3 linked regions of the Saccharomyces cerevisiae S288C genome follow. Changing the gene in region 2 together with the main gene of any one other region gives a genetic interaction. Each region holds a gene or a part of one and is shown on either strand. Other genes may lie near its edges.

The links.
Region 1: of DUF1 (region 2) and UBP9, changing one enhances a phenotype caused by changing the other (phenotypic enhancement), as found in Saccharomyces cerevisiae (one study listed by BioGRID).
Region 3: of DUF1 (region 2) and UBP13, changing one enhances a phenotype caused by changing the other (phenotypic enhancement), as found in Saccharomyces cerevisiae (one study listed by BioGRID).

What each region holds. Positions count from the first base shown.
Region 1 is NC_001137.3:351,504-359,942, reverse strand, and holds UBP9 (putative ubiquitin-specific protease UBP9), read right to left. Parts: upstream 4,478-8,439; coding exon 2,213-4,477; downstream 1-2,212. Other genes in the region: E2 ubiquitin-conjugating protein UBC6, read right to left, coding at 1-381; ribose phosphate diphosphokinase subunit PRS2, read left to right, coding at 882-1,838; SHC1 (Shc1p), read right to left, coding at 6,707-8,245.
Region 2 is NC_001147.6:151,219-160,410, forward strand, and holds DUF1 (Duf1p), read right to left. Parts: upstream 7,420-9,192; coding exon 4,069-7,419; downstream 1-4,068. Other genes in the region: HAL9 (Hal9p), read right to left, coding at 1-2,272; protein disulfide isomerase MPD2, read right to left, coding at 2,694-3,527; MHF1 (Mhf1p), read left to right, coding at 7,955-8,227; alcohol dehydrogenase ADH1, read right to left, coding at 8,330-9,192. UniProt on the Saccharomyces cerevisiae protein: Ubiquitin-binding protein involved in the resistance to phenanthroline, sanguinarine, nordihydroguaiaretic acid (NDGA), isopropyl (N-3-chloro-phenyl)-carbamate (IPCPC) and guanosine 5'-O-(2-thiodiphosphate).
Region 3 is NC_001134.8:90,676-98,954, forward strand, and holds UBP13 (ubiquitin-specific protease UBP13), read right to left. Parts: upstream 5,208-8,279; coding exon 2,964-5,207; downstream 1-2,963. Other genes in the region: AST1 (Ast1p), read left to right, coding at 66-1,355; ribose phosphate diphosphokinase subunit PRS4, read left to right, coding at 1,739-2,719; SEF1 (Sef1p), read right to left, coding at 5,994-8,279.

The sequences.
Region 1 (8,439 bases), on a different chromosome or scaffold from region 2:
TGTTGTAATTGATCCTGTCGTGGCTTCATCACTGGTCATGAAACTTAGTAACCCGTTCAAAATGGTTGAGACAGACCAGCCAGGATTCCAAGTATCAGGGTGGTAATCACTCATAGAAAGGCATAATCGTGTGTTGGGCTTGAAACGTCCATTCGGTGTTATCATTCTGATAGCCGGTGGTTTGTATGGATAATCAGACGGGAAAGTTAAAGTACCGTGATATTGACCGCCCTTGTAAGGAGTATCCGCAGGTCCTGTGATAATATAGTGCCACTCTAAAATATTATCTTCGTTGGGGCGAGCAAGAATATATGGTGGAGGGTTTTCCACCATCAACTTGTACTCTTTCGTCAATCTCTTGTGAGCCTGCTTTGTAGCCATTACTATTGTACGTACTTTGTTTGCAATTTGCGAATGCGGTTTTAGTTAATATTTAAAGTCTTTTCTGCGATATGCGATGGTAGTCTTCTTTATCACGGCTCCTAAAGTGTGATAATCGGAAAGTTCCTTTCTGTTCTCTGCAATCGATTTCGGCTTTTTCTGAACACAAATAACCAAAATTTCCTTATTTTATTGGGGAGGCTATCCTAATTGTAAAGTGCAATATTGCTGTGGAAGGATATCGACTCAAGCGACCAGTGGAATAGGATGGCGAGTTGGCTAGTTTAGCTCTCTCCGACATTGTTGCTATTGAACAGATACGGTATGCCCGTGTATTTATCCTCCTACCAAATCGCGCAGCAAAATGGTTAAGCACGTGACTATTTTTCAACAATGAAAAAATTTTGAACAATAGATGATATGAGGAGGCATCGAGGGATTGCTAAGAAGAGGATATTCCTCATCATCCAAAGACTATCTTGTCGTAAGTTTCGTTGAATATGTCTACAAACAGTATTAAGTTGTTAGCTGGTAACTCACATCCTGGGCTTGCTGAGCTTATTTCCCAAAGGCTTGGTGTACCGTTATCTAAAGTGGGGGTATATCAGTATTCAAATAAAGAGACGTCTGTTACAATAGGGGAAAGCATTCGTGATGAAGACGTATATATCATCCAAACTGGTTACGGGGAACATGAAATCAACGATTTCTTAATGGAATTACTTATCTTAATTCACGCTTGTAAGACGGCATCAGTCAGAAGAATTACGGCAGTAATACCAAATTTCCCTTATGCTAGACAAGATAAGAAGGATAAATCGCGGGCGCCCATCACTGCGAAGCTGATTGCCAATCTTTTGGAAACTGCGGGTTGTGATCATGTTATTACTATGGATCTCCATGCTTCACAAATTCAAGGGTTTTTTCATATCCCGGTTGATAATTTATACGGTGAACCAAGTGTGTTGAATTACATAAGGACCAAAACAGATTTCAATAATGCGATACTGGTATCGCCTGATGCTGGTGGTGCGAAAAGGGTGGCTTCTTTAGCGGACAAGCTGGATATGAATTTTGCCTTGATTCATAAGGAGAGGCAAAAAGCTAATGAAGTTTCGCGAATGCTGCTTGTCGGTGATGTTGCTGGTAAGTCATGCTTGTTGATTGACGATATGGCTGACACGTGTGGTACGCTGGTGAAAGCCTGTGACACATTAATGGATCACGGTGCTAAGGAGGTTATCGCTATTGTCACACATGGTATATTTTCTGGCTCAGCTAGGGAGAAGTTAATAAATAGTAGGTTATCAAGAATTGTTTGCACCAACACGGTACCTGTTGATTTGGATTTGGACATTGTCGATCAGGTGGATATCAGCCCTACGATTGCAGAAGCTATCAGAAGATTGCATAATGGAGAATCAGTCTCATATTTATTTACACATGCGCCTGTTTAAAGAAGAGGTATAAACGAATATATTTGTATAAATGTACTAACAGATATTTTGAAAAAAAATGCGTATATCTATTCAGTATTAGCGCTTATGCTGCCACCAATATTCTTCATCTGGTCTCTATGAGATTTTCATTAAAGCTTAATCTTTTCTGATTTACCGCCCTTGCTTTTGGAAAATATGTGAAATTTTATTGTGCTCTAAAAAAAAAAAGTTATTACAGTAGGTGAAGTGAAATACAACTAAATTCGAAAGATCAGGAACAATAGAAAGAAACGTGGAAATTATTTAAAAAAGGAAGAAAAAATGGTACACTAATATTGATACTTTTAGAACAGATGGGTCTCAACTATATGATGTATCGAAACAATCCCGATTTATTTGATGAAGCTCAATATTCTCGATTTTCTTTTTTGCTTATTGCGTTTTTTATCATTTAATGGCGTCTTGGTTTCTGCAGTCTTAACTTCAGGTATATTCCCCAAGGTCTTTTTGCGTTCAATATTTGCAGCTGCCCTCAATTTACGATCCCTTAACCAATCATCGCATTTTATTAACTGTTCAATGTTATTGTCAGTCTGCATTTGATCTTGACTAGAAGTGTCTATATTTTCATTTTGATTTTCGGTCTTATCAGCCTGTGTTTCTTTATAGAATAAAACGTAGGCTGTAGTTTGATCACCTGGATGACCTGTGAATTGTAACACAGTTTCTTCTTTTATGGATTCCACCGTTTCGTCATCATACAAAAGCCACCCAAACTTTTCGTTCCTGCAAATGCATACGTAATGACCATGCTGTGGACCGCTCCCCATATGGATGACGACGCCGCTTAGTTCATATTTTTTATATACTGATGTATTAAAAGTGGAAGAAACATCCAAAGTTAGTGGATAGAGTATTTTGTTAAAAAGTTTGATGTTTGACTTTTGCTCCTCTGAATACTTGAATCTTTTTAGGTGCAATGACAGAATATGGGGCAGTTGCTTCAGTCCGACCATACGTTCTGCTTCTTGTAAACCATAACATTTGTTACAATAAAATTTGTTAACCCCGTTCAACATCTCACGCTGATGATAGCTTTTTAACATCTTCTGGATATCAGTCTCTTCATCACCCTGTACTTCTATTGGAAAGTCTAAAAATGGTTCGTCCCTTGAGGTGATATTGTCACAAGTTAAACATTTGATCCTATTCGTCAGTGTACCTTTGAATAAATCCGTTATAAAGTTGTCGTTGCTGTTGTCTGTCTTTTGTGGTCCGAATCTCATTCTGGGATTATTGCGTTGAATATATTCACTGAAATCATTTAATAAAAAGTTTAAAAATTCATGGGCATCTTGTTGCATCATAGTGTTGAACAAGACGTTTTCTTTTTTTAAAATTTTGACAAACTCTGTAGGTGAAACGATACCGGTTAGCGACAAGTTTTCAGTAATAGACTCAAATATATCTTTTAGTCCATTGTAAAGTGTAGCTTCCTCGGTTGGATAAAGTAAATGATCTACGTTAAGAACGGGGCCTCTAATTAAAGCGGCTTTTTTTCTTTGTTCACTTGTTGGAAACGTATTCTCTTTATTATTATTAGAATTGTTGACAGCATCGTTACAGCTCTCAGGGTTAACAAGGACATCATCATCCACTGATGTAATCCTACTGCCTTGTGAATCACACTGGCAATGCGAATTTGCTTGACAATCTGTAGTTGAAGCTTTTGATAAGGAATCGCTTTGCTTTAAAAGCGGTCTTCCCACAATAATTTTTTTACAGCCTTCGTGAAGCTTCTCTGTTAATGTATCAGAGGCCATTACAACTGTGTGAACAGGCTGAGGCCGTTCCATCTCATTGTTATCATCTTTCTTTGCAGAATCTTTATAGTTCGATTTATCTTTTCCAAAACCCATAAACGAGTTCCTTTTTCTTTCAAAATTATTCTGTTTTTCTTGAGTAGAAGAAGAGGAGTTATCTTGATCACTCTGCTGAAGGTGGTGGTGGTTATGTGCATCTTCATTATCATTGCTTTGGTACCCCGTATTAGAATTTCCGCTATTAGTAGATGTTTCAAAACTTTCATTAGTGAATACCCTTATTTTTGAACCCTTCAAATCACTTTTGCGTATTCTGTTTACTGCGGCTACTCTTTCAGGATATCGCAGCACATTACACCTAAATTCGGGGATATTATAAAGGCATTGTAGAACGGAGTTGCAGTAGCAAGTATTCCCAAAATTTTCATAACCAAACACTTTATTGGAACCATCCCCATATGGCATTAAATCTGTAATAGTAGTAAATAGTATGGAGGACTCTGTATCGAACGCACGATCTTCATATGTAGTCGAGGAATCGTACTCTCTTTCATCTGAAGTACTTGCCATATTATGGTAATGCTCATGGTAATGTTTATTTCCTGCAAGGTTATCCGTTTGACTACTAAACTTGCTTCTTCTTTCATGGCTCGCAAGATTAGAAGGTATGCTTGATGTACTACTCTTAGCACTTGGTGATTTCGCTATGGAGGGATCTCCAGAACCTTTCGTTTTCTTCAGGCTAGTTGCTTTCCGATTAATTTCGTCATTACCTTGAGTGTTCTTCTCCGGGTGTGACTTTTTCCTATTCACAGATAACCATCTTTTTATCATTTTTCATATGGAAGACTCGTTGCCTTTGGTAAATGTTTTAATTTTCTGTTTATTACTGATAATGCAAATACTTTTTTAAGGATCGAGCTAAGGTTTTCGACACATTCAAGCTTGTTCAAGCGAAAGGTTGAGTTCGCCCCTAGAAGTTTAATAAAATCGGAAGTTCCAAATACAGCTTCGATGGACCTTATTGAATGCAAGAGAAACGTTTTCTTGTGGGGGGGGCGTATATCGTTTGGAAAGGAACAGAAGTGCAACTTTTTCAACCCATAATAGAAATCGCGCATTGACATTAATAAACGCGATTTCCGGGGTAAAAACCGCATATAAAGTATATATGGCGTACAGGAGCCCAACTGCTTTTTCTTTTGCTGAAGGACAATTGAGATACGACAGCGTGATGCTTTGTTGGAAGGTGGCTCCTAACCCCATACATACACTGTATGATGTCAAAAAAGTACTCCGATACGGGGAGTCGAACCCCGGTCTCCACGGTGAAAGCGTGATGTGATAGCCGTTACACTATATCGGATTACAATACACGTATGTGTTGCATCTCAAAATGGAATACGTCAGTATGACAATACCCACCTAAAATATTCATAAAACACATATTGAGATGTTGGTGAATTTTAAAATAATTGTTGGGATTCATTGTTCGTAAACGCTATAATATTGCGTATACAGAATATACTAGAAGTCTCCTCGAGATATGGAATCCATAAAAGGAGAATCTGTTGGAACGAGAGTAATTAATAGTGACATGAGTTGCTATGGTAACAATCTAATGCTTACATCGTATATTAATGTACACCTCGTATACGTTTAAGTGTGATTGCGCCTATTGCAGAAGGAATGTTAAACGAGAAGCTCAGACAATACTGAAGCTGTGTTAAACACCTATTAGTTGAACATGTTATGGTAGGTACATATATGAGGAATATGAGTCGTCACATCAATGTATAGTAACTACCGGAATCACTATTATATTGGTCATGATTAATATGACCAATCGGCGTGTGTTTTATATACCTCTCTTATTTAGTATAAGAAGATCAGTAATTATTTCTTCATTAATACTATTTTTTTACCTCTAATTATCAACAGAATCGATAAATCTACATATTGTTGTTATTCTTTTTTCTTCCATTTTATATGTTCTCGTTTATTATTCTATCACGATCTGAGTCCCTGCATTTCGGCCTCCATTAAATTTGATGAGTGTTTCTCAATTTTTTATGTCATCTTCCCGCACCGTATATGATTGTATACCAGTATTATGAATATCAGTACACTAGTTGATAGATGATGGCTGATTCCTATTCCAAGAAAGTTTTACTTAAACTTTTATATTTCTACTATAGGTTCTTGTCTGAGTAACGGAAACCACCTGCTCTAACAAAATCTTAGTTTAGTTCAAGGTTACATTTGCTGCATAATCGTTGTGGTTCTGGAGTTTTATCCCGCAACGAAATTCTAATCTATGGTTGAAATTTAATTATGGAAAAACTCATTTATGATGCTAAGCAAACAGGTCTTAGTGTGAGGGGGCATTGATCTTGAAAAATAGTCAATCCTACCCGCAGAAATTACTCCACAAAGGTCTGAAAGGAGACGCTGTTGCGTATTTGATCAATGAGGTGTATACCTCTTATCTTAAGCGGTATATAATAGCTTTATATCCCGATACTTGAATTATGCTTATGTAGGAAGAAGTGACACTGATTGCTCATTTGTGCCATTATAATGTAAGCGTTTGTTTTACAAGTGTTAGTGAAGGTACAATGTATGTTATTATTTTTTTTCTTCATCGTTTCTTTTCAAAAGGATGAGATTTTGTTTTAAAATATTACAGATTTCCGCACCAAAAAGTAAATATTATGAAAAAGACACATTAATTTCAACGCTGGGAAAGTAAATAAGTATAACGTCGTATATGATAGAACTAAGAAAGGCCGTGACTTAACTGGTCCATAGCCAATGCCACGGCATTAACGATAGTAGTGCTCAAATACATCTAAAAATGCAGCATATAGGATCTGCGCTAAATAACAGAAGGAGTTTAGTCAGGTTTATTTATTCGATATACAGCAAAGTAACAAATAGTAACGAAAGGTGTGAGGATCAGTCTATTTTTGATCAAACAAACTTCTAAAGTTAATCGAACTTCCACAGTTTGTGAAAAAAAAAACAACAAAATAAAAGGAAAACGAAGTTTGTATTTATCTATTAAATCAACTTTTTGGCTGCCACAGCTTCATGGGAGGTTTTATGATATTTCTGTGCCGAAGGAGGATGTCCTCGCGAAACAAACCCTCCACTTCTGCGAGCGTCTTCTAGTATTCTTGCCGATTCAGTATGCCCTAAAGCCGCCGCCTTCTCATACAATGCCATAGCATAATCTGGATCCGAAATGATAAGATCTTTATATCCCGTCATATAAATATTGGCTAATTCAAAAGGAGCACCACAAACAAAGCTGCTAGCCATAGATGTAGCCCTTCGCAACCATCTATAACCATCCATTTTGGTTAGAATATCATCTGGAAGACCCATCAAACCATGATACGAATATACTCCTAATTTGTACATTGCTGCAGGATGGTTCTTAGTTGCAGCAAAAGTCAAAAAGTTAACCGCCTTCGGTGCATTTCTGGTTACACCCAAGCCGCACTCATAGCAAATGGCAGTTCTGTAAACACTTTCGATGTGCATTCTTTTGGCTGCAGCGGAGAATAAAAGAAATGCTCTTCTATTCTTTATTTTACCGAAAACTCCAGAGGAGTAGGCGTCACCTAGAAGGTACTGTGCATCAGGGTATCCAACGGCACTTAGTTTCTTCAAAATAACTTTGGCATCGTTCACTAAATATTCCTTTAAAGAATCTACAGAGAAGCTATTGCTTTCATCCTCCAGTTCCTTAACAAGTTCGTGTAGTTTTTCGGTATCCAACCCTACCCTTAAAATGTATTGTGCATACTGAAAATTAGAATATATGTCTTGAGTTTTCTTAACTACCTCCCCGTACATTTCAATGGTTTTCCATCTTGGTAGCAAGCTCTTCTTGTTTTTCTTGCCAAGGTGAAATTTGGCCACATTATGTGATTCTGATGCAGTCACCTCATTTGTGAGGCAAAGACTATTGTAAACGTTAAAATCTAGTGACACATGTCTAGGAAGTGAAATGGAACTTGTACTTCTATTGATATCGTTTGAAGAGCCTGATCCGCTTGGATTATTCAAAAAGTCCAAATCATTCGATTGACTAAAAGACAGAGCGACAGATTCATTCTGAGAGGGAGGGGGCTCAGCGAAGTCGTGAAACTCGGAATTACCGTCTGCCGATGTGCCATTTAAAATTTCGGATGAAATTTCAGAAGCAATTTCAATTTCACAAGAACCTTGTGATTTTTCCTTCAGTGAGGAAGAAGCATCGTCCTCAACGTCGTTCTCAAACTCGTCCTGCTCAGGAAGAATCTTTCTTGTGGGAAAAGAGTTATATTTTTCAATCAATGAGGGCGAAGCGTCGATATCCATCGCATCCTCACCAATAGAGGATGAAATTTTTTCTTTATCATTTGTAAACACATCACCTGAGCGTGAAATATGAGATGAAACGGATGACCAGTATTGACGAACTTCTGGTTTATTCAATATCAGAGAGGAATCAGAGGAGAATCCGCTTGATTCCAACTGTTTATCAACCTCATTATAAGCTCCAATTTCAGGGTATGCACCAGGAGTATTTGAGCAAATAGTCATGGACATTATGGGTACTGCCTGATTTTAACAAAGGGATACTCGTAATGTCAACCGTACTTCTCTTGCTGTTAGCAAAAGTATTGTTCTATTCTTTTTTCCAAGTACAATTTTTTATTCAATTTAAAAACGTCGAAACGAAGACAAGGAAATTCATTGCCATAAAGAAGTGTATGGTATTTTACGTTGGTTTTATAAGAGGA
Region 2 (9,192 bases):
TATGCGCCTGGTAATTGATGCCTTGAAACAGCTGTAACATTTCTTTACTGGCGTTTAAGTATTGACTTGAAAAAAGAATGAATAGCTGAGGAATATCATGGCGAGAACCTTTGTATAGGCGTTCGTTATCAATCAATAAGGATGTAGTCATCATGCTCAAAATCACTTTAGAATATAGCGCCCTAAAATGACAATTCAAAACACGAGAGCATGCAATCTCAAAACTTAAAGCCGGATTTTCTTGGGATTTTTGAGCGTAAAGTACCGATAAATACTGTTTATAACTTTTTAGTTTCATACTTACGTGCAAGTTGTCTCTCCAATTGTTCAAAGAATCATTGAGATCTTTGATTTTATCAAGCATGGCATCGAATGAAAGATCTAGAGTACTTCTGACAGCAAAACAAGTAGAGTATATTTTACTCTCAATACTAACCAATTTTGAAACATAATATGATATGAAAAGGGATATGTGCTGACAAAAATTTACAACTACATTCAATGCAGAGTTGACATCAGTAATTTTATCGAGATCTTCCTTTTTATCAATAAGATCAGGTAGAATATTAGTTTTTATCACTTCATAATAATTTTGATCTGTTAGCATATCCATATCGCGTTCCCCCACAATAGGGGGTCTGGATAACATTAAAGAATATAGTTTATCTGTACAAAAACAATGCCACCACATTCTTCTTCTCCTTATGGCTTCTTCAAAGTCTAGTGACTTGTAAGAGGATTTTCTATTTAATTCCATGTCAACCGCCAATCTAATCGCGGTTCCTAAAATACAATTTGCTAGTTCAGTATCGTAGGTAAGTTGAAAATATCGGTTCAGTAGTAATAAAGCTTGTAGTGTTCTTGTACCTGAACAGATGGTGGACAGCTTATGATAATAATACATGGCATTTAGTAAGGCAACGTTTTCGATTTTTTTTAACTCTTGGGAGGTTGGATCATATCTATCTTTCCTTAGAAACTTTGAATCACCTCTTATAATTGATTGAGTGGCAGATGCACCCGAGCAGAGACACACGTTTAATAATAAATGTTCAGGATATGTGAGTTTTTCGCCGCTTTCGCTGTAGTACTTTTCTGCTAAGTCTAGACATTCTTTTAACGATATTATACCAGTTACAGAGGATAATAAGGTAGCATGAAAATTCTCAAGAAGTCTCTTTGCTTGCTTTTTCGGAGGTAATGAGTATAATATTATTTCGCTGGAGAAGAAAGCCGGAGATGACAAATCCATAAATTTTTTCATTTGAGTTGCATACCATTTTAAAGATATGCTTAATATTTCGCTGATTGGAGAAAGAAACTCCTCATTGGACGCTTTCACTCCTAAACTTTGTTTGAACCAATAGAGTTTTTGAGCAGTTAAAAGTGCCGTAGAGTATATTTTTCTCGCTGGTTTGGGCAAATTGTTCTTTTCCTTGTATTTGCCTTCCTGCTTTTTAACAGCCTTGTCCAATAACCACTCAAGTCTAGCCACACTGTCAATAATGTAAGACATTTTTCTATCCAATTTTTCAATCTTTGAATTCATTTTTTTGTTAAGATTATTTTGAATATTGGAGACTTTATCGATGATATTGCTTTCTAAGGGGGAATTACCGTTTAAAAGTTCAAACCTTCCACTGTTCGGTACTGAAGAAGACGCTACAGGATTGCTAATACTATTTGAGGTTTGAAGTGATTCCCCTGGTGTTGCATGATGTTTGATTTCTAATTTTCTTTTCTTCTTAAGAATCTCATCACGATGTTTGAAAGTGCAAGGCAACTGAAACTTAATACAGTTTGAACATTTTTTGGTCTGCTGGTCCACTTCATCACATCTGATTTTTCTTTTTCGGCAATGGTCACAGGCCTTTGATACACGTTTCTTGAGATTTTTACCAGAGCCGCTCATATCATTACTGTTAGTGTGTTCCATCATCGTGCTGATGTCACGGTTCTGTTGTGTCTGAAATTGCGACTGATGCTCTGTTGGCGAGTATATTGTATTGGGATAAGCCACATTCATGGGGATATTTGGACCTATTGTACTACCTGTCATAAGGGTGTTTTCTCTGTTAGGCATCGTCATCAGTTGATCTGGCACAGGCATCGACCATATTTGAGTTTCAGGAACCAGACGTGGGGTACCAGTTTGATGGTTTACATTTGAAATGTCACTTCTACCGGTGATTTCATTGTTAAAAACCGCATTCATATTGCTTGCTGAGTTTGAAAACCCATTTGGGCTGTAATCTCCACCTTGATTTTCCATTATTTCAAACCGAAGATTTGGAGTGGAGAGTGCTGATTTCCTAAGTTGAATTAAAGTACGATAATAAGCTCCCTAAGACATTTATTCTTTTTTCGAATTAAAGGCTTTTTATATAAAGCCATCTTTCATGTACGTAATTGGAGATTATACCAAAACCAAACAGGGTAAGAGATGTTTCTCTAATGAATAAAATAACAGTGTTACCTTAGCACAAGCCAATATTCAAAACACATGTGGTAGACCTTCTGTAATATTTATGTATATCTCCATAATCTTTCACCTACACAATCTCACTTATATTGCGGCTAACGTACATTGTTAAATATATATGTATCTGTGTATTTGTTGTACCTCAGGGTGAGGGTCCCGCTTCCGTCTGTAGTCGGTATTCGTAAAGTAAAAGACAGAGCGAAGCTTATGTTCAAAGCTCGTCATGACTACTGGTATCTTCTAACTGGTCTTCTATGTGTGATAATAGGCTCAATTGTAGACGAATGATTTTCAGTTTTTCTTTAACTTCTTTACTCAAGTCATCTCCATTTTGCTTAATTAAAGCTTCTAGTCTTCGCCTTTCCTTTTCCAGCCCATTCACGTCACCGTATAATTTAGATAAAGTATCAGAGTAGTATTCTTTACCAGCTTTACACAGAAGCTGTTGAGAACGTAATTCTTCATTGCAATTCCTAGAATCATCGAAAATATGTTCTATGAATCTTTCTTCTGTATCTTTACTTCTTACAGTATCGATAAAGTTGCTTAAACTCTTTAGGTTCCTACTCCCTTCAAAACGAACAACCCTAGACGTATCCAGTTGGTACTTAGGATTGTTGAACCACGTCTTGATTCTTTGCCATAGTCTTTCATGAAATTTCATAGACGACCAATCGAGCTTCGGAAGAACTAAGGGCTTAGTACGAGGTTTGACCAGTTCAATTATTGGAAATCCAGGCAAGTCGGTACATAAAGTTGGCCCGAAGAATTCACAGTTAACTTCAAGGAAGTTAATTGGGGTATCATCTTTATTAGCTTTTTTGGCGTATAGCTCACCAAGCTCTTCGTATACTGGGGCCAGAGTTTTACAATGTTGGCACCAAGAAGTGTAGTATTTTATCATTGTGTAAGAATCATTCCTATTGCAGATATCGAAGTACTGCTCAATCGACTTGACCATCGTGACAGCTTCACTGTAGGCCAACGCTGGTAAAATGACGACGCATGTTGATAATACGGAAAATAAAAAGCCGTGCAATTTCATCTCCTTTGTGTTTTACTTTGCCGACGTACTTGCACTAGACTCGCTGTGTTTTTTTTCTGTTGTTTTGTTGTTATGCTGTTCTTTAGCTCAAAAAATTGGCCACTGTTCCCCGCTCTGTAAATTAATTGCTCTTAAAGAAACAAAAATGATTAAAAAAAATTAGAAATATTTGAGATAATAAGAACATCATTCAGGTCGCCCATATTCACAATTATTTACAGACTGTATTTTAATGAAGAATGTGTGCATAACTTGATGGTACCTATTCAATATAAAATTTGATAAATAAATAATATTATAAAAATGTCTATGTAATTATTATAAAGCTCTAGAGTATGTATGAGTTGTTACACATAGCATTCCAATGAGTACTTGCTTTTTTCTTCGTTCTTTAGACATTTCAGAAGAATATTCTTTATCTTGTCATTGTTACTGCAACTACTATTATAGTATTATTAGTATTATTGTTGGTATTGTTACTATATATTTACGCTTAAAAACTCCAAATTCAGACCCCAAAATATAATTTAAATAAACATTATCATTTCCCCTCATTCCCGTTGACCTCATGAACTAGCGGTGAATTATGTACTTTTCTTCTGTATTCTAGAACTATGTCACCCTGAGATTTCCAGTAAAGTGTTCTAACGGTATTTAAAGTCATATCGTTATCAAGCACTTGGCCCCTACATAGTAGATCCAACCAAAGACTAGGTTCCATTTTTGCTTTCATTTCAGGAGTTTTCGTTTCAAATCTGTCAGCGACGTAAAGTTTAATTTTTTTCACCCTAATCATTCCAGGCGCAACCAGCTTGACATTCGCCTCAGAGATTCTCGGTAAATCTGTGGGGTTTAACTCCTGCTCGCTGGTCTTCGGACGGCCAAACTTTAGCATATTATGGAACTGTTGCTGTGTTGATGGGGAAACGGCTTCATTACCATTTCCAAGGCTGCTATCGCTACTATCGTTGCCAGAAGATTCTGTGGTATCTGATGCACTAATAAACTTCTTCTTGTTTTCATTGCCAGCTGCCTCACTCCCACCAACAGAAGACCATGGCATGATTAAGAAGTTCAACTTTGGTTGCTCTTCCACCGTCTTAATATCTCTAAATAAAGCTTTTGCAAACCAGTAGGGCAAATTTTCCTCCAATTGCTCAAAAATTTGCCTTCTGTTGAGTCTGCTTCCTAACTCGCCATCAATAAGATCATATTTTCCTAATTTGTCATCATCTACAGCTTGAAGGTCTACTTCTTCATCATCTGGCGGTTTGGAATTTTCTTTGCCGCCGCTGACGGTTTCATTATCGACATGAGATGGCGGTAATAGGGTGGAAAATAATACCCTGCCACCACATGAGCCTTCCTTCCAAAGATGGACCAAAACTAACGTGGCAGATTTTACTCTAATAATTGGACATGAACTAGCCTTGATTATCTTGGTGACTGGAAGCCTCTTCGTCAGGTATTTTAGAGAAGAAGTATTCATATATTGTTGCTTGTAAGACTCTTGAATTTGCTCCAGTAAATCGGGCATGAACTCAGGCTTCTTCTTTTCGTTGCCTTCCAAGGTTGACGTGGAATTCGCCCTTGAGTTTTCAGATGATCTTAGTTTGTTATGAGTGTTGTTACTCGGTAAATCTTGTGATGAAATAGCGGATAGTTTTTGCTCTAGCTTGAAAGGATGATTCCATAACATAGATTCTGGAGTTGCATCCTTAGACTGCTGAGTTGTATTGATAGCTTGAGGGAAGGCCGAGTCATCATTAATAACGTGCGGAGTATCTGGCAGAATTCCTTTGGGCTCCTCTGGAGTGTTTAACCCTGTTGTGGCACGACCAGAAGTAGACCTAAATGATTTGAACTTTCTACTTAACAAGGAGCCAGAGCTCTGCGTTCTAAAATATGGCTTTTTGGATGCAGGCAATGGTTGCACGAGTTCTAAAGAGTCATCTATTGCTTTATCAGAAGCTGACTGCAACAATGGTTGTTCTTCTAATACTATAGTCTCTGCCATTACCGGGGTTGCAGGTGCCGAATTTGGTGGAGTTCCACTGCTGTTGGTATTTCCAATGGACAGAGTTGAACTAATTTTGAAGGTTGATTTTCTCTTTTTATCTTTATTATTCTTTTTTGATTCACTGTTATATCCCGTATCCAAGGTTAATGAATTGGTTAAGTCTTTTTTCTTCAAACTAAAAATTTTCTTCCTTAAAAGTTTATCCTTTTGGACTTCATATGATATGAACTCATTGAAAAGCGAATTAATAACAATTTTACCCAAATTATATCTCTCATCTGAGTTAATTTCAATATTGTTCACAACCTGATAATCCTTTAGCGCGGATCCATAAACTTCAGTTTTCAGAAATTTTGGGTTTATTTTTACGAACAGCATACCGACCTTAACGGAAACAGTACACCAATGAGATAGAATTTCCTTTGAGGTGTATTTCATTACAATATCATCAAATGAACCTTCTGATGAATCAAAAGTATTCAAAAGCTCACATGAAACGATATCCCATCTCTGCATTTGGCCTTTAGTGTTTTCCGTTATTACATGCCTCCTGTTGGTTAGCAGTGAGCTTCTGGTCAGTGCGAACCCACCTTCGTTGACACTGAAATGGTTATTAGTTAAATCGAGCACGTTTAGATTTGAGTCAGTACAAAAAGAAAACAACAATTTTTCATTAGGTAAAAGGGCAATATCAAGGATACCACCATATTTTTTTACTTTCGCATCTGTAGTTGATATATTTTGCTCTTCGTGTTCATGGTGATGATGATGATGGTGGTGATGATCAGGCTTGAAAATTCTTGTAAGTTTAGCATCTTCATAACTGGATAAGTTTGCTCTCATAACATTGCCCTGAGAGTCACCAAAATACAACTTATCAAGGCTCGTTCCTTGGACACACCATATGGAAGAATCCCAGGACCAAGATCCAATTTTTTTGGGAAGCTGAAGGGCACCAGTAGTCTGATCATGCCTACAATTCAAGTCCCATACATTTATTACACCATCTGAGCTGGTACTGATTAGTCGTGTGGAGTCATCAAGAGTTCTTACTACTTTTATATTTGTTCTGTGGGCGTTTTGAATTCTTATCACCTCCTTACGATATTTACACGAATAAAAAATCAAATCACCATTACAGTCTCCGGCAACAAAATCAAAGGGACGAGACGTTTGATTGTCATCAAAACTGTATTTTGGGATGATGGGACTCATGGAGTATATTGAGCCTGTGTCGTTTGATTGTGCATTATCAAATGTGTGTAGTAGCGTAGCCATTTTTTCTGGCCCGCTGCTCAGGCACCAAAGTTTGATTTTTCTATCTAGACCACCTGTCACAAAAAGAAAGTTGTTCTGTTCATCAACAACAATGCCATTATTTATTCCATCGTGTACATTATCAGGACCACCCTCTTGTTCTTCCAATTCATAGTCATTTGACATTTCATAATGTATGGGCACTATGCACTTGATATAATCGTCGTGGTCACCGATTATTTTCTTATCCCAGGTAGTTAACTGCGCATTCACACTAATTAATACTATCGAAAAATCGTGACTTACTGATATGAATGTGTCCCCTGCAGATGGGTCTGAATTTTTCATATTAACATGTATTAGATCGCTTGCCCAATCGCTATGAACTTGCATTCTTATCGCATCGTTTTTTATGGTAGTTGCAGCAGTCTCAGGCTCGTTCGAGAGCTGTGTGTTCTTGTGCAAAATTATGGAACCATCCCTTCCTGAAGTAAGAAAATAGTTTTTACCAGGTATATCCGGGTACAGAATCTTTGTTATCGGTAAGATGTGCGCATCTTGGGAAGTGCAGTAATCTGGGGAAATTAGGCCATAACTCACTGTCAACTGATTCATTATTACCTTTCTATTTTCTCCGGCTTTTTATTGGCTTGCTCTTCTAAAGTCAGAAAAGCGTAGATTTGCTAGAATGTATCGTTTCCTCGTTAGGAATGGCTTGAACTAATTCCTGTATCTATGCAATTGCAATCCAACTACACTTATACGACGTCAAAAGGAAGGGGCGGAGCGTTCTAATTGTAGTTGCAAAAAGCGATGTAGTCGTTCTTCAAGTAGTAATTAATACCAGGATAGGACACGGTGTTATGGTGCTGGTAGTTACTTGTTATAATGTTATTATTGGGCAAAAAGAGAGTTCACTGTTTAACAATAGCAATGGGGTTTTTTTCAGTATACATTTGAACTGCAATGGAATTTGGGCGGAGGGAGCAGTAAAGGGGCGATCAGAGTTGAAAAAAAAATGCTGCCGTAAAAAAAGCATGCACGTATACACTTGAGTAAATATATTTATGTATTCATATCTCAAGATAAGATCATGATACATAAAAGCGATATAACGTCTTGAAGCTCAGGTAAGGGGCTAGTAGATGCAATGAATGACGATGAAGATAGAGCCCAACTGAAGGCTAGGCTGTGGATCCGTGTGGAAGAACGATTACAACAGGTGTTGTCCTCTGAGGACATAAAATACACACCGAGATTCATCAACTCATTGCTGGAGTTAGCATATCTACAATTGGGTGAAATGGGGAGCGATTTGCAGGCATTTGCTCGGCATGCCGGTAGAGGTGTGGTCAATAAGAGCGACCTCATGCTATACCTGAGAAAGCAACCTGACCTACAGGAAAGAGTTACTCAAGAATAAGAATTTTCGTTTTAAAACCTAAGAGTCACTTTAAAATTTGTATACACTTATTTTTTTTATAACTTATTTAATAATAAAAATCATAAATCATAAGAAATTCGCTTATTTAGAAGTGTCAACAACGTATCTACCAACGATTTGACCCTTTTCCATCTTTTCGTAAATTTCTGGCAAGGTAGACAAGCCGACAACCTTGATTGGAGACTTGACCAAACCTCTGGCGAAGAAGTCCAAAGCTTCTCTGGTGTCAGCTCTGTTACCGACGTAAGAACCAACAATAGAGATGGACTTGACGACTTGGTTGAAGACATCAGAACAACACTTGGCACCAGCTGGCATACCGACCAAAACGGTGGTACCGTTAGCTCTAACGTATCTGGTAGAAGCTTCAATAGCGGCTTCGGAAACGGAAACGTTGATGACACCGTGAGCACCACCGTCAGTGGCCTTTAGAACAGCACCGACAATGTCCTTTTCCTTAGTGAAGTCAATGAAGACTTCACCACCGATGGATCTGAATAATTCTTCCTTACCTTCACCACCGTCAATACCCAAGACTCTGTAACCCATAGCCTTGGCGTATTGAACAGCCAAAGAACCTAGACCACCAGCAGCACCGGAGATAGCAACCCAGTGACCGGCCATCAAGTTAGCAGACTTCAAAGCCTTGTAGACGGTGATACCAGCACACAAGATGGGGGCGACTTGGGCCAAGTCGGTACCTTGAGGAATGTGAGCGGCTTGAACAGCGTCAGCGGTAGCGTATTGTTGGAAAGAACCGTCGTGGGTGTAACCAGACAAGTCAGCGTGAGGACAGTTGGATTCGTTACCCAATTCACAGTATTCACAGGCCATACAAGAACCGTTCAACCATTTGATACCGGCGTAGTCACCGATCTTCCAGCCCTTAACGTTTTCACCCATGCCGACAACGACACCGGCACCTTCGTGACCACCGACTAATG
Region 3 (8,279 bases), on a different chromosome or scaffold from region 2:
CACCTTGTCGAGCATTCCGGAAGCTACAAATACGACATTGCATACCAAGAGGCAAACGTTGAACAATGGCTAAAGATATTTTGAAGAACCAGGACCCTAAATTGCAAGCGATGATCGTTGAACACTCGGCGCCTGCTCCCAAAGAGATACCTATGGACGCTCCTGTTTTGAAAAGAGTCGCTAGACCTTTAAGACATGTAAAGTTCATTCCAATTAAATCGCTGATATTCCATACTAAAACAGGGCCCATGGATTTTTCTTATGAAAAGAAGATCAAGACGCCTATTCCTAAGAACAAAATTGTAGTTCGAGTAAGTAATGTGGGTTTGAACCCTGTAGATATGAAAATCAGGAACGGCTACACATCGTCGATTTACGGTGAGATCGGCTTGGGGAGAGAGTACAGTGGTGTTATCACTGAGGTAGGCGAGAACCTAAACTACGCCTGGCACGTGGGTGATGAAGTATACGGTATATACTACCACCCTCATTTGGCCGTGGGATGTTTGCAAAGTTCAATCTTAGTAGATCCAAAGGTGGACCCAATCCTTTTGAGACCAGAATCGGTTAGCGCCGAAGAAGCTGCAGGCTCCTTATTCTGCCTGGCCACCGGCTATAATATTCTGAATAAATTATCCAAGAACAAGTATTTGAAGCAAGATTCAAACGTTTTGATTAATGGTGGAACTTCGTCAGTGGGGATGTTTGTCATACAATTATTGAAGCGTCATTACAAGTTACAGAAAAAACTAGTGATTGTAACGTCTGCAAATGGGCCCCAAGTTTTACAGGAGAAATTTCCTGATCTGGCTGATGAAATGATTTTCATCGATTACTTAACGTGTAGGGGTAAATCTAGTAAACCACTAAGAAAAATGCTCGAAGAAAAGAAAATTTCTCAGTATGATCCGGTCGAGGATAAGGAAACTATACTTAACTATAATGAGGGGAAGTTCGATGTTGTACTCGATTTTGTCGGTGGTTACGATATTTTGAGTCATTCTAGTTCATTGATTCACGGCGGTGGTGCGTACGTAACCACTGTAGGTGATTACGTTGCCAATTATAAAGAAGACATTTTCGATTCATGGGATAACCCAAGTGCCAATGCAAGAAAAATGTTCGGGTCTATTATCTGGTCATATAACTACACACATTACTATTTTGATCCGAATGCAAAGACGGCTTCCGCCAATAATGATTGGATTGAGCAATGTGGCGACTTTTTGAAGAACGGTACTGTAAAATGTGTCGTCGACAAAGTTTATGACTGGAAAGACCATAAAGAAGCATTTTCTTATATGGCCACTCAACGTGCCCAAGGAAAGTTAATCATGAACGTCGAAAAATTCTAGATACCCACTTACATTTACAATATGTTTTATTTTTAAACTTAATGAACTTCATAATTTAATGCTTAATATTTTCCCCCTCCCACCTTCTCCTGGCGTTCTCTGTACGTACATAACCATTTATTTTAATATATAATCAAATATTGTAACAATTGAAGCAGATGAGTCTCGCTCCTTAGTTAAGCACGTGCCGATGATATCAATTGGATTTGTTAGCAAATCAGCCTTGCTGCTCGATTCTCTGCTTTTTTTTTACTTCTCGGTCATTGAAAAATCCTGACGAAAATATTTCAAGGTCCTATATGGTCATCGACCTTGAGCATGTGGTAGACTACATAATGCACATAGACTCTCAGCTTCAACTCCACAAGGCTTCTCCAGCAAAAATGAATTCAGAGTCTCGAGAAGATATGGCTATAAATAGTATCAAATTGCTAGCGGGAAACTCCCATCCTGATTTGGCTGAACAAATATCGAAAAAGTTAGGTATTCCACTTTCCAAAGTTGGTGTGTACCAGTATTCTAATAAAGAAACCTCTGTCACCATAGGTGAGAGCCTTCGCGACGAAGATGTGTATATTATCCAAACTGGAATAGGTGAACAAGAAATTAATGATTTCTTGATGGAATTATTAATTTTAATTCATGCTTGCAAAATTGCATCTGCAAGAAAGATCACTACTGTAATACCCAATTTTCCATATGCAAGACAAGACAAGAAAGATAAATCCCGGGCGCCCATTACCGCAAAGTTGGTTGCCAATTTATTGCAAACTGCTGGTGCTGATCATGTCATCACAATGGATCTCCATGCCTCCCAAATTCAAGGGTTTTTCCATATCCCGGTTGACAACCTATATGCAGAACCAAGTGTTTTAAATTATATTAGAACGAAAACAGATTTCGACAATGCTATTTTGGTGTCGCCTGATGCAGGTGGTGCTAAGAGAGTAGCTGCTTTGGCTGACAAGTTAGATTTAAATTTTGCTTTGATTCACAAAGAGAGGCAAAAAGCTAACGAGGTTTCAAAAATGGTGCTTGTTGGTGATGTTACCAATAAATCATGTTTATTAGTTGATGATATGGCGGATACTTGTGGTACGTTGGTAAAAGCTTGTGATACGTTGATGGAGCATGGTGCCAAAGAAGTTATAGCTATTGTTACACACGGTATTTTCTCCGGTTCAGCAAGAGAAAAGCTAAGAAATAGTAGATTGTCTAGAATTGTTTGCACAAATACCGTTCCGGTAGATTTGGATTTACCTATTGCTGACCAGATCGATATTAGTCCCACGTTCGCTGAAGCTATAAGAAGACTACACAATGGTGAATCCGTGTCATATTTGTTCACCCATGCTCCAGTATAGGACAATTTTTTATTCTTAGATTCCTGATTGCTTGCATGCCTAAATACTTCATAATTGTATTAGTTTAAAAGAAAACCTTTTACTGAGACAAAACTATAAATTTAAGAAAAAGGTTCCGGAGCCGGTTTAAAAAAAGAAGATTAAAGATATTATATTTATGTAAGAATTAAATTAATACTGTCAGAGAAAAAATAGTTTTAAAGGAGACGGTGAACCTTTACCTTCCTTGATATGCAAATATTTTTCAGCTTTTCCTAAAACTAAACATTCTCGACTTTTTTTTAGAAGACTTTATGGGTGTGTTAGAAACAAAGCTGTCGTCTATAGCAGTATCCAAATCGTCTGCTATAGGCAGCTCTTCCTTTTTCTTTTGACCACTATTGCAAGTTCTTAGCCAATCATCGTACTTGATTAGATTGTCTATATTATCATCTTGTTCTTTTGCCATATTTTCACGATCATTCTTTTCAACAGCGTTTGAATACATCGCTTTATAAAACAAAACATATGCTGTTGCCATATTTGGAGATTCACCTGTGAATTCTAACACTGTTTCCTCTTTAACTGCCTCTACCGTTTCGTCATCAAATAACAACCAGCCAAACTTTTCATGTTTACATAGGGAAACATAATGGCCGTGTTGTGGCCCACCGCCCATATGAACGACAATCCCAGCCAATTCATACTTTTGACAAACCTTAGAATTTATTGAAGAGCAAACATTTAGCGTCAGAGGATAGTGAATGTTATTAAAAAGCTTAATATTACAGTTTTGTTTCTCAGAATACTTGAATCTTTTCAAGTGTAATGTTAAAGTATCAGGCAATTGCTTCAAACCAACTAATCTCTCTGCCTCCTGTAAACCGCAACATTCGTCACAATAAAACTTGTTTGAGCCATTTAGCATTTCTCGCTGGTGATAACTTTTCAAAATTTCCTGTATATCTGTTTCCTCATCTCCCTGAACTTCTATGGGGAAATCCAAAAATGGCTCATCCCTAGATGTAATGTTATCGCACGTCAGACATTTTATTTGATTCGTTAAAGTGCCTTGAAACAAGTCACTGATGAAATTTTTACTCTTACTCGGTTCGCTATCGCTGTTGATATCACTGGCTGCTATTTTTTTATTCTCACGTTCTATATATTCACTCAACTCGTTTAATAAGAAATTGAAAAATTCGTGAGCATCCTGATGCATAGTAGTATTAAATAATACATTTTCTCTTTTGAGAACATCAACAAAAGAGCTAGGCGATACAACACCAGTTAAATACGTATTCTCAGTTATGCATTCAAAGATATCTCTCAAACTGGAATACAAAGTAGCCTTATCTGAGCCGTTTAAGCTATGGTCAATATTGAGCACTGGCCCACGAATAAGTGCGGATTTCTTTCTATGTTCTGGGGATATTTGAGAAGAGGAACTAGATCTTCTAGTATCTTTTTTATCAAGTGGAGTGGATAAGCTGCTATTACTTTCTCCTTTCAAGTCCAGGTTATTACTATTACTGCTACCTCTTGAAGGATTTTCATAATTGAGAACTCTGCCAACAATTATTTTACGCGGAACATCCGGAGGTCTATCTGTGACGTTCTCGAAACTCAATCTGCTCGGAGCACCAGGCTCATTAGGTGTTTCGACTATCAATGGAGGTGCGTCTTGAGGACGAGAAGAGGGTTTTCCAGTGGTTAATATAGCAGGACTTCCTTCCTTTTTATTATTGTCTTGTACATGTTTCGCGCTAAAACTTTTAAAAAATTTACTCTTCTTCTCTGAAGGCCCAGCTGTATTTGAATTTACAGAATTTACAGGGGTAGGCTTTCCATCATCAACAGATTGAGGTTTAGGGTTAGGCAAATGTCCATTGGTACCAGCAATGCTTTTCTCAAAACTTGCTTCGGTAAATATTCTTGGTTTCTTACCTCTCATTTCTTTCTTTCTTGGTTGATCAGATTCTCTTGATTTTTTTGGAAATTGCAATATATTTTCACGTAATGAGGACAGATTATAGAGACATTGAAGAACTGAGTTACAGTAACATGTATTGCCAAAATTTTCGTATCCAAAAACTTTGTTGGAGCCGTCTCCATAGGGCATTGAGTCGGACACCTTCATAGCTAATATGGGTGCCTCGGGCCCTTGCGTGATAATGCCTCCGTATGCGTTTATAGCCTTTGCGTTTGAAATATAAAATATCCCATCCTGGCTGTAATTACTGCCTTGATTGCACGTTTCAGAAGAATAGTCTAGTCCGGAAGAAATCTGCAAATTATTGTCTTCATTCAAAAAAGTTTCCTTGGTATCCAAATTAGAGACAAACAATGAGCTAGAGGGATTATCGGATGATTCGCTATAACAGAGTTCATCATTTATATCGTGGTTTACAGGCTTAAAGTCAACCTTTTCTACTTCTTCTGTAATGGTATCATTAACAGCCTTTTTCTTCTTCCCAGACTTACTTATAGTTAGCCATCTTCTGATCATGATTGCGCCCTTCTTGCGTGGGTTTAGTATGTTAATGAAAGTACTGGATCCTTACTAAAGCCGAATTTGGCCCCTTCAACAAATAAAGCTTGATGAGTTGAACAGTCAAAGGGTAAGATCTGGTATAGGCAATAATAATATTATCCAAATGGAAAAAAAAAAAATGAACAGGTGAAAAAAAATCAATTTGAAAACCAAAGAAAAACTCTATTGATTCCTTTGCTGTTGTCGACCTTCTTTCACACAATAGTTCAATTACGTTCTTTGGGTTCTTTATCTTTATAGTTATCTTGCCTCATCTCTATGTTCAACACTTTCGGATCGATGTATTTTTCAGCCTTCCGCTAAAATTGACGACCGTCTCCAAACGAATAGGGATAAAGAAGCAAGGACTGAGCGTTGGAGAAAAAAAAAAAGTTACCGGAATGGGAATAGATAGATACCTATAAGAAGCGTTATCGTTACTCATGAATTTTGGTAAATGCACACGGATAAATGCATGATATATAAAATATTAATAAGAATAAAATAAATAGGTAGTGAATAAATATTCTACTTTGGTGTGGTCATCATTTTACAAAGGAGGGAGGTCGTGATAACAAACTGATAAATAATCCTTAAGTTGATCCATTCTTGAATATTGTTACATTGGAAATAATCCGAAAAAGAATATGTATAAATAAAAGGACTCGAAGTCCTATGTAGCCGTCTTTGCAAATTTTCTTTAATAAATTAGCAGAAAACAAGGGTAATAATATTTCTTAGAATATTAGAAGAATATAGGCGTTAAAAACCTTGTTCCATGTTCATATCGAACCAACCAAAAAAGTCATCATTACTGGAGTTGCCTTCAATCCAGCCTGCACTTTGTTGCTGAAAAAAATCCGTTAGTTTGTTTCCAGGAGTCTTCACGTTGTTTTCATTATCGATGGTTTGGAAGTTAGAAGAAGTTACAGTGTTAGTGCCCGTAGAAAATCGTTGGTTCGTTTTGTTGCTATTGATATCATTACTTTTGGAAAACAAGCTCAGAGGTGGATATGCCGTGCTTTTAGAGGAGCCGGGGTCGGAAACGACGGAATGCAAATCTGTCATATTATTTGACTTCGAAGCAATCGGTGTACGTGAATGGGACATACTACTTTGTGATCTTCCAATCGCGTTGGCGTTGCTGAATTGATTATTATAATTCATGGTGACATTTTGTAAATTACTGTGCTCCCTTGGAATAGGGTGGTCTATTCCCAATGTAACATTATTAGATAAGTTGCCAACGGGGTGGTTCCTTAACCCTGGAACGGACGCAGGAAAATGATTAACGGGAGTGCTTACTGATCTTTTCATGGAGAGATCAGGAATTACACTAGGTCCGTTACTATAATAGTCTACCTTAGTACTTTGTGGATTGTTATTCGAAGCGGGGACAGAAGCCACTGGATAAATTGAATTAGAGGGAATTGATATGTCATTAGACGCATCCAATAACGTCCTATTATTATTATAATCGTTACTATTCGAGGTATTAGCGAATAAACTTTGAAATTTTACGCTGCCTGTTTCCCCGAGCATGGAAAGAGGTATCCCGTTAATCTCCATTATAGAACCGTCAGAATCTCCGTTATTTGTCTTGGCTAGCTTTTCTGCCTGCTTTAAGGCATTCTTAGTAGGAACTAAAGTGGTAACAGTGGTTCCACTTGGTGTTGTTTTTGTTACAGTTTCAAAGTCATCTCTGGAGATATGGTTATATAGTGGCAATGGATATAGTTTTCTGTCCGTTATGCCACCCGTAGACGAAGTGCCATTGTAGATACCATTTGAGGAAAATTTTCTTTTCTTAGCGGCTTTCTCTAAGGCTTGCTTGTTATATTCGGGATCCATTTCCCTTCTTCTCGCCTCGTGAACACACCAAACCAAATCATAGAATAGAGACCCTGTTAAATGTGATCTCATCCTAGAAATAATACCGTCTTCTTCCACAAAAACTTCTGGATGCATGATCAGTACGAAGTTCAGTTTTTCTAACATACTTGCAGTTCTCGAAATATCATTCTCAACACTAGTGGCCCACGCAGTTAACTGATTTCTATAAAGTCTATGGATAGTGACCACGGATTGCCTTGCTGAATCAAAATATTTGTCAGGAAGTAAAGGAGTCAACTGCAATTTAAAGAGAATCAGTGCAGAAAATGTAGCAGCTTGTCTAATATAAATAGGCAGTTCAATTAATTGGTGTGTTTCTAAAAGATTATTCAATAGAGTGACAATTTTAGTAGCTGTTAGATAGGCCTCTGTGACATATGGAATTTGATCGGTAGGAGGTGTTTCGGGTAGGAATGCAAAACAACAGACAGTTAATTTAACATAAAGAAAATAAATGTTGACAGTATCGTCACTCTGGAAATTTAAAGTTTTTGCTAATAAATCTAACTCTTTTCCCAAGATGGACAGTGTCTCAGCACGATACTTTGGTTCCAATAAACCATCAGGACTGGAAGTGGAAGAACCAATGATATGAGACAATTTTGCTTGGAAATTCGCCAGGCTGAGCAATCTTCTAAAACTGCCCGGTAGTTTGTATTTACTTTCAACGTGCGGCTCGTCTTTCTTGTTCCTTTTATCATTGTTGTTATTGTCAATACTGTCATTGTTATCTTCTTCTGATTCTTCGTCACCACAGGATAAGGCTTTTTCTAATAAATAGTCTGTCTGTGAAGTTGGTGGCAAACCAAGGATACTCGCCCAACAAAGTTCGGCAAAAAATATTCCCAGCCAAGTCCTAGTTCTCCACTTTTCTGCATTTGGCATTGATGTTTGAGTTCTTGTGAATTCAGAAATGAATTCACCTCTGTGCAAACCTAATTGATAAGACAGTGACTTTGCTAATCCTACAAAACGGTAAGAACAATCATCTAGGACTTTTTGGTTAGGCAAAGGCCAAATGCACAATATTAACAAAGCTTGCGAAATATGTGTGGATCTAGGTGTTCTTATCCAGCAGGTCTCTATGGCAAGTTGCTTGATCAAAGAGCTTAGCTTGCAATACATCGTCGGTTCAGGATCAGACAGACATGCCGT